2 linked regions of the Callithrix jacchus genome follow. The protein of the gene in region 1 interacts with the protein of each later gene in a biochemical or structural test. Links are inferred from orthologs where the notes say so. Each region holds a gene or a part of one and is shown on either strand. Other genes may lie near its edges. The genes, in order: SERPINF2 and ELANE.

Region 1 (4,417 bases):
AAGGTGCCCTCTGCCAGCGGCCCTTTGCCTCCAGGAGTGAGCCCATGCCTCGCCTCTCACCCCTAACCACAGTGTTTGTGCCTTGAGCTGAGGAGGCAGCCTTTGGGCCCTGAAATCCTGCTGGGCTTCATGACCCTGAGGGGAGGGGTGAGAAGAACCATCTCTGTGCCTCAGCCTCACATTCGAGAATGGAGCTGAAGCCTGGGATGGCACCTGCTGCCTCCTCACAATTTGCAATAGATGTAAATATGACCAATAAATCCTCTGGAAGGGCCATGGGATGAACTGTGGCTTGTCTTGTGTGTTTTTCCAAGAGTTGCAGCCTCACCGTCCCATCCCGGGTCTGTAAGGTATGTGGCCCAAGCTGGCCTCCAACTCCTGGGCTCAATCGACCCTCCCGTTTTGGCCTCCCAAACTTAGGATTACAGGTGTGAGCCACCATGCCCAGCCTGAGGCTTATCTCGATGGTGGGCAAGGGGAGACCTGGCAGTTTCCAGGGCAGTTAAGAGCCGCCCATGGGGGTGGGAGGCAGCCTGATCGGCATGGGCTGCAAGCCTTCTGGTTCATGCAGCCTACTCAGGTGTGTTTCCAGGACCCTCACTCTGGGTTAGGGGAAAGAGACACTGCTGTGGGGAGGCAGGACACAGAGAGGTGACCCCTCCCATCTCTCCTCCCTCACCCCTGCCTTCCAGGCTTGGTCTGAAGGCAGCCAACTTGGATCTGGGCTTGTAAGGTGGAGTGGGCGTTCCATTCCAGGTCTATAAGGTGAGGTGGGTGTCCCATCCTGGGTCCATAAGGTGAGGTGGGCGTCCCATCCTGGGTCTGTAAGGTGGGGGTGGGCATTCTATCCCGGGTCTGTAAGGTGGGGGTGGGCGTCCCATCCCGGATCTGTAAGAAGAGGTGGGCGTCCCATCCTGGGTCTGTAAGGTGAGGGTGGGTGTCCCATCCCACGTCCGTAAGGTGAGGTGGGCATCCCATCCCGGATCTGTAAGGTGGGCGTCCCATCCCGGGTCCATAAGGTCAGGTGGGCATCCCATCCCGGGTCTGTAAGGTGGGCATCTCATCCTGGGTCTGTAAGGTGGGCATCCCATCCCAAGTCTGTAAGGTGAGGGTGGGCGTCCCATCCCGGGTCTGTAAGGTGGGGGTGGGCATTCTATCCCGGGTCTGTAAGGTGGGGGTGGGTGGACACCCAGGTCCAGCCTCTTCATCTCTCTCCTCCTGAACCTCTTTCCAGGCTCAGGTGGGACCCAAATCCATGGGGTCCTGCCTCAGGATCACACGCCTGGGGGAAAGGGGCTTCAGGCTTCAAGATCAATGTTTAACCGGATGTGCCAGTCAATGTTTACCAGAAGAGAAAGCACTCTCCACGGGGTTGGCTGAGAGTAAAGGTCCCGGTGGGCGGAGGGGTGGGCCGGGCCGGCCGGAGCCTGTGCAGAGGGTGGGGAGCACCCAAGTGGGGCCAGAGGAACTTCGAGTGCAGCAGCAAGGAGCCGGCAGAGGTACGGGGGAGGTGGGTGGCTCGGCCTGCTCCCTGGGCGGCAGAGGAGGCAGGGAGCTGTCTTCCCCACTGAGGGGTCTGGGCTGGATTGATTCCGGCCTGTCACTCCCCAGCCTCCTCTGGCAGTGCGGAGCCAAGGCGGGGGCTCCGGGAGAAGTACCTCTGGGACCCAAAACACTGGAGCCTGTTCTTGGCAAGAAGATTCAAACGCCCAGGTCCGAGATGGTGCCTGGTCAGAGCGCTTGTGTGCAATAGGGGTGGGGCCAGGGGCCACAGAAGGACCCTCGGAAGGATTGGCCCTGAGATGGGGTTGGGGGGAGGCTGTAACACCTGCTCTGGCTTGTCCTCCTGAGACCCACCCCTGCCCTTCCCAGAGCCAGCATGGTCAGGGTCACGGTCTGTGATTCTCCTAAGTCCACAGGCGGCTCTGGCCGGAGTCATTCACTGGGCTCTGCTGCTGGGTCAGAAGGCAGCTCTCCAGTCGCCTCGCCAGCCCTGCTGAGACCTCAGGGCCTCAGAAATATGTCCAGCCTTGTAGGCAAGACCTGATGGGCCTGAAAAGACTGGCTCAGAGGACACAGCAGGTTGGGCGGGAGCTCTGGGGTGGAGGCTTTAGGGCAGGCTTCCCGGAAGAGGCGGCCTTGAGCCAAGCCGAACCCAGCCATCGGTGAGTGCCAAGCATTGTGCTCACAGTTTACAAAGACAGCCTTATTTTATCTTCCTTTTTTGAGACAGAGTCTCACTCTGTCATCCAGGCTGGAGTGCAGTGGCGTGATCTCGGCTCACTGCAACCTCCACCTCCCAGGTTCAAGCGATTCTCCTGCCTCAGCTTCCCGAGTAGCTGGGATTACAGGCTTATGCCACCACGCCCAGCTAATTTTTGTATTTTTAGTAGAGATGGGGTTTCTCCATGTTGGCCAGGCTGGTCTCGAACACCTGACCTCAGGTGATCCATCTGCCTCAGCCTCCCAAAGTGGTGGGATGACAGGCGTGAGCCACCGTGCCCGGCCACACAGACGGCCTTGTTTTGGTCCTCACCGAGCATGCGAGAGGACTGAGGGACTCAGGCCACCATTTTATTTTTATTTTTATTTATTCTATTTTATTTTTTTTTTTGAGACAGAGTTTCGCTGTTGTTACCCAGACTGGAGTGAATGGCGTGATCTCGGCTCACCACAAACTCCACCTCCTGGGTTCAAGCAATTCTCCTGCCTCAGCATCCTGAGTAGCTGGCACTACAGGTGCGTACCACCATGCCCAGCTAATTTTTGTATTTTTAGTAGAGACGGGGTTTCGCCTTGTTGACCAGGATGGTCTCAATCTCTTGGCCTCGTGATCCACCCGCCTCGGCCTCCCAAAGTGCTGGGATTATAGGCATGAGCCACCTCGCCTGGCCTTCAGGCCACCATTTTAAAGGTAACGCCAAGCCTGGTGGGGTTACAGGGAGTGCCGAGGTCCTTTGCAAGAGGCAGTCTGGATTGAGATGCAAGTCTGCTCAGTGCAGGGCCTGGAAGGAGGGGAACGTTTTTGTTTTGCTATTTCCCTCCTATTAACCAAAACACTTTTAGTGCACGGAATGTGAAAGACCAGAAACTAAGGGGGAAGGAGCTGGGAGGGCTGTCCTGCCCCACAGGAGGGGAGCCGCTGCATGAGTGCTGTTCTCACTCTGGAACCTGCTTCTTCCCCTGGGCGCTGGTGACTCGGTGTCTGTGAGCGTGTGGGTAGGAGTCCCTGGCGGGCGTGGGGACAGAGATGGTAACATACCTTCTGTCCCTGCCACAGGAACATGGTGCTGCTCTGGGGGCTCCTGCTGCTCAGCTCCTGCTCCATGGTGAGGCTGGGCTGACGTCCAGGTGGGGCGGGCGGAGGGGGAGAAGAGGGGCACTTGTGTGGAGGGAGGGCTTGGCTTCCAGGGGGCCCTCCTAGCCTCACCCCTTTTTCTACAGTTCTCCCCTGTGAGCGCCATGGAGCCCGTGGGCCAGCAGGTACTGGGAAGCGAGGAGCCCTAACGGGGAAGGCCCTGGGGTCTCACCAGTGGCCTGGGCAGGGTGGGGCCTTGTGGGAGGGTCACACTCCAGCTGCTTCCTCCGTTCTGCAGCTAACTATGGGGCCAACCCAGAAGAAGGTGCTCCCGCTTACCTTCCTCAAGCTGGACAACCAGGTAACCAGGTGGGGCTGGGGAAGAGTGGGCGGGGCTAGCGGAAGGCAGCCGCAGCAGCAGGGCGGCGGGCGTACCAAGGCCAAGGCTCTGGAATCTGGAGGCCAGGAGGGACAGAGGGTGGGGAGGACCATAGGTGGGCGCCAGGCCCCAGAATGCCAGTGCCCTCCGTCAGACACCCCCTCTCCCCTTGGGCTGTGACCAGGCCCTACTGTCCTCAGGACCTGCAACACAGAACCTGGAGCTGACCCCTTGATCTCTCTGCCCCCCATCTGTCCCCGCAGGAGCCTGGTGGCCGGACTGCCCCTAAGAGTCCCCCAAGAGACTGCAGCGGAGAACCCACCCCACAGCAGACCCACAGTCTGGCCCAGGCCATGATGGCCTTCACTGCTGACCTGTTTTCCCTGGTGGCTGAAACCTCCACCAGCCCCAACCTCATCCTGTCACCCCTCAGTGTGGCCCTGGCGCTGTCTCACCTGGCACTAGGTACCCTGGAACCACTTGTCCAGACAAAGAGAGATGGGAGGCCAGTAGGAACATGGTACTCCAGGGGTTCTCCAAGGGTACCTCCTCCACCAGGCTGCTGGGTTAAAAACTGCAGATTCCCAGGCTCCCACCCGTCGGTCTGTGTGCATCAGATCTCAGGGACTGGGCAGGGGAATCTGCTTATTTACAAGTCTTCCAGGTGATTTGTTTGTTAGTTTGTCTGAGCAGAGTCTCGCTCTGTCGCCCATGCTGGAGTGCTATGGTGCAATCTTGGC
Region 2 (4,231 bases), on another chromosome or scaffold:
GTTGGTTCTTACGACAGGCTTGGTGGGGCGGGTGATGGGAAGAGGAACCGGGGCTGGAGCCTGGGAATCCCATCCCCGCAGCCAGGGCTCCGGGCGGAAGCCCCCAGGCTTGGGTAACCGACCTCGTCCCAGCCTCTGGGCCTCTCACCAGCACCCCTGCCAGGTGGCCACCCACCCAGCCCCTGGCTCAGGCGGGGAGGGCACGGGGAAGCTCAGCGGGGCAGAAGGGTGGGTGACAGTGTCACAGCCCCGGCTGGTGTCCGAGGACTGACCGTGAGCCTCGGTGACAGTGAGTTCCCGTTGTCAGCAACAGCCGGGGTGGGCGAGAGGGAGAGGCCAGGCCTGGGGGTGAGCCCTGAGGTTCAGGGAGCAAGGCTGGAGGGAGCCCCCAAATCCCCATCCAGCTGTGGGTCCAGAGCCCTGGGCTGAACTCGTGGCTCTGCCCGTGGGGAAGGCCTGGGTTTCCTCATCCCAAACGGGAGCCCTGGGAAAGGTCAGGGGAGTGCCTGCTGCGGTGTGAGTGCCCGACACGGCCGCACGTGGCTGTTACCCCGGTGCCCGGGGTAAACTGAGGCAGGCGAGGGCAACCCCTGTCGAGGCCCCTCAGGACTAGTTTTGGCAGATTTGGCAAAAACACAGCAATGCTCAGTTAACTTGGAATTTCCAGTAAGTATATCCTGGGCATCGTTTGAGACAGATTCAGATTTTAAAAAAACGTGGAGACCAGCGCGGCCAACACGGTGAAACCCCATTTCTACTGAAAATACAAAAAAATTAGCCAGCCTCGGTGGCTCACACCCGTAATCCCAGCACTTTGGGGGGGCTGAAGTGGGTGGATCCCCTAAGGTCAGGAGTTCGAGACCAGCCTGATCAACATGGTGAAACACTGTCTCTCCCAGCTAATTGTAAAAAGGCAAAAATTAGCTGGGCGGGATGGTGGGCACCTGTAATCTCAGCTACTCAGGAGGTTGAGGCAGGAGAACTGCTTGAACCCGGGAGGTGGAGGTTGCGGTGAGCCGAGATTGTGCCCCCTGCACTCCAGCCTGGGCGACAGAGCGAGGCTCGGTCTCCAAATAAATAAAACCATGTTGATGATCTGACATTCGAATGCAATTGTGAGTCCCCTCCGGAGCCAACCCCAGCCTCTTGTCCCCCTTTGCCCCCCTTTTCACCAACCCCCTGTGCCAGGGGAGAGGAAGTAGGGGGTGCCAGCCGGCTGTGGGGCAATGCAACGGACTCCCGGCACAGAGCTATAAGAGAAGCCGGGCTGTCAAGGACGGGCAGAGACCCCGGAGCCCCAGCCCACCATGACCCTCGGCCGCCGACCCTCCTGCCTCTTTTTTGCCCGAGTCCTGCTGGCCTTGCTGCTGGGGGGTGAGTCTGCGTGTCCATCCTCCCGCTGCACCGTCTGTCCTGGGTGTCCGCTCCCACATCTCCACACGGACCCCACATCCTCATGGGGGAGGTGCCAGCTGGGACGAGGAGACCAGGAGAAGGCAAAGACACACCAGGAGCCCAGAGCTGGGGGTTTGCAAACCTGAGGGTCACTGGGCACCCTTTGGGTTCAAGTCCAGATTCAGCTGTGCCTTGGCAGGGGGACCATGGGCAGCTCCCGTTGCCGCTCTGTGCCTCAGTTTCCCCATCTGAACATCAGGCGTGTGAACAGCCCTGATCCCATGGGTTCCTGGTGGGGGACTCAGGGGCCCCATGGCCGGGAATGAAGGGGCACCTTGGCTGGCACTGAGCACCCGCACCCTGTGTGTCCCCAGGCCCCGCGCTGGCCTCAGAGATTGTGGGGGGCCGGCCGGCCCGGCCACACGCCTGGCCCTTCATGGTGTCCCTGCAGCGGCGCGGAGGCCACTTCTGCGGGGCCACCCTGATCGCGCCCAACTTCGTCATGTCCGCCGCGCACTGTGTGAACGACGTGTGAGTACCCGGGAGCGCACCTGCCTGGCTGGGACCCCCCACGTCCCAGTGTGTGGGATGGGTGGGGGCGAGGCCGGGGCCCCGGGACTGCTGGGAGGCCTATCCTGGGCCTGCAGGGACCCCATGAGCCCCTTCCCCATAGGGCCCATCGCGGGCTGGGGATGACAAGGCGAGGCTGAGCCCTGACCCCCCCAGGGCACCCCCCCACCTCTGCCTCTCCCTCCCCTGCAGAAACTTCCGCTTGGTGCAGGTGGTGCTGGGTGCCCACAACCTGAGGCGGCGGGAGCCGACCCGCCAGACCTTCTCCGTGCAGCGCGTCTTCGAGAACGGCTTCGACCCCACGAGGCTGCTCAACGACATCGTGCTTCTCCAGGTGCCGCTGGATGGGGTGGAGAAGGGATGCCCGGGGTGGGGGCACCGGGGTGGAGGCCAGAGCCTGGAGAGGGTGGAGGCAGAGACAGAGACAGAGGGGCCTGTCAGGGGCCGCTTGTGGGGACCTGGCGTGGAATCTGGGCTGTCCTGGACGAGGTCCTCCCCTCTCTGTGCCTCAGTCTTCATTCTGTGAAATGGGGAAGTACCCGCCAGGGGCTGTCCAGGGATTAGATGAGAAAGAGCAGGGAAGCATAGATCTGCTGTCAATCAACAAACTTACTGTGACTCCTGTTGTCTCTCCATTCACCGGCCCTGTGGCCGAGGGCAGGGGCCGTCTCTGTCTTTGGGAAATGGGGCAGAAGCCCCCACCTTTCCATCTCTGTCCCGGCTCACAGTTATGACCCCCGGAGAGGCTCAGAAGGAGAGTCTGATTGTCACCGCCCGCTGCGGCCTCCACCTCCTGGGCTCAAACGATCCTCTCACCTTGGCCTCTAGGGTAGCTGCACCCACAGGTGCGTGCCACCACTTCCGGCTGATTTTTTTTTTTTTTTGAGACAGAGTTTCCCTCTTGTTACCCGGGCTGGAGTGCAATGGCGCGATCTCGGCTCACCGCAACCTCCGCCTCCTGGGTTCAGGCAATTCTCCTGCCTCAGCCTCCCGAGTAGCTGGGATTACAGGCACGCACCACCATGCCCAGCTAATATTTTGTATTTTTAGTAGAGACGGGGTTTCACCATGTTGACCAGGATGGTCTCGATCTCTTGACCTCATGATCCACCCGCCTCGGCCTCCCAAAGTGCTGGGATTACAGGCGTGAGCCACCACTCCCGGCCCTGATTTATTTTTTTGAGGTGGAGTGTTACCCTGTTGCCCCGGCTGGAATACAGCAGTGGGATCTCAGCTCACTGCAGCCTCCACCTCCCGGGTTCGAGCAGCTCTCCTGCCTCTGCCTCCCAGGTAGCTCAGATTACAGGTGCCTGGCTAATTTTTGGAATTTTTAATAGAGATGGCGGTTTCACCATGTTGGTTGGGCTGGTCTTGAACTCTTGATCTCCGGTGATCCGCTCCCCTTGGCCTCCAAAGTGCCGGGATCACAGGCATGAGCCACTTCCTGGTCACGTGGCTAATTTTTTTTTTTTTTTTTCCCTTTGAGAGGGAGTCTCACTCTGTCACTCAGGCTGGAGTGCAGCGGCTCAGTCTCAGCTCACTGCGACCCCCACCTCCCGGGTTCAAACTATTCTCCTGCCTCAGCCTCCCCAGTAGCTGGGATTACAGGCATCCACCACCACACCCGGCTAATTTTTGTATTTTTAGTAGAGACGGGGTTTCACCGTGTTGGCCGGGCTGGTCTCGAACTCCTGACCTCAACTGGTCCTCCCACCTTGGCTTCTCAAAGTACTGGGATTACGGCCATGAGCCACCGCCCCCGGCATTTCATTTTTATTTTGTAGACATGGGGTTTTGCCACGTGGCCCAGGCTGGTATTGAACCCCGGGCCTCAAGTGATCCTCCTGCCTCGGCCTCCTAAAGTGCTGGGTTGACAAGCGTGAGCCGCCGCGCCCGGCCATAGTTTTTTTTTATTATTAATTGAGCGCCTACTGTTTCCTGCACTCAAGCTACAACCAGGGACAACCTCCAACACTGAGCCTTGGTAGCTGCTCCCACTCTGTAGATGGGGAAACTGAGGCTCGGGTTGGGGAGCACATTGAAGGGTGGGTGTCCTGCTCTGCAGGATCCCAGAACCACAGCGGAGTCTGAGATGGGGAAACTGAGGCTCGGAATGGGGAAACTGAGGCTCGGGTTGGGGAGCAGATTGAAGGGTGGGTGTCCTGCTCTGCAGGATCCCAGAACCACAGCGGAGTCTGAGATGGGGAAACTGAGGCTCGGAATGGGGAAACTGAGGCTCGGGTTGGGGAGCAGATTGAAGGGTGGG

Evidence for each region.
Region 2: of the proteins of SERPINF2 (region 1) and ELANE, one has a biochemical effect on the other in vitro, tested with the Homo sapiens proteins (2 studies listed by BioGRID). The link is inferred for Callithrix jacchus from reciprocal best matches to the Homo sapiens genes SERPINF2 and ELANE.

The regions. Positions count from the first base shown.
Region 1 is NC_133506.1:66,498,973-66,503,389, reverse strand, and holds the start of SERPINF2 (alpha-2-antiplasmin), read left to right. Parts: upstream 1-1,461; 5' UTR 1,462-1,499; intron 1,500-1,611; exon of another isoform or gene 1,612-1,713; intron 1,714-2,621; 5' UTR 2,622-2,739; intron 2,740-3,280; 5' UTR 3,281-3,284; coding exon 3,285-3,329; intron 3,330-3,444; coding exon 3,445-3,483; intron 3,484-3,596; coding exon 3,597-3,659; intron 3,660-3,940; coding exon 3,941-4,142; intron 4,143-4,417.
Region 2 is NC_133523.1:797,147-801,377, forward strand, and holds the start of ELANE (neutrophil elastase), read left to right. Parts: upstream 1-1,282; 5' UTR 1,283-1,307; coding exon 1,308-1,374; intron 1,375-1,769; coding exon 1,770-1,926; intron 1,927-2,157; coding exon 2,158-2,299; intron 2,300-4,231. UniProt on the Homo sapiens protein: Serine protease that modifies the functions of natural killer cells, monocytes and granulocytes. Inhibits C5a-dependent neutrophil enzyme release and chemotaxis. Promotes cleavage of GSDMB, thereby inhibiting pyroptosis. Promotes blood coagulation.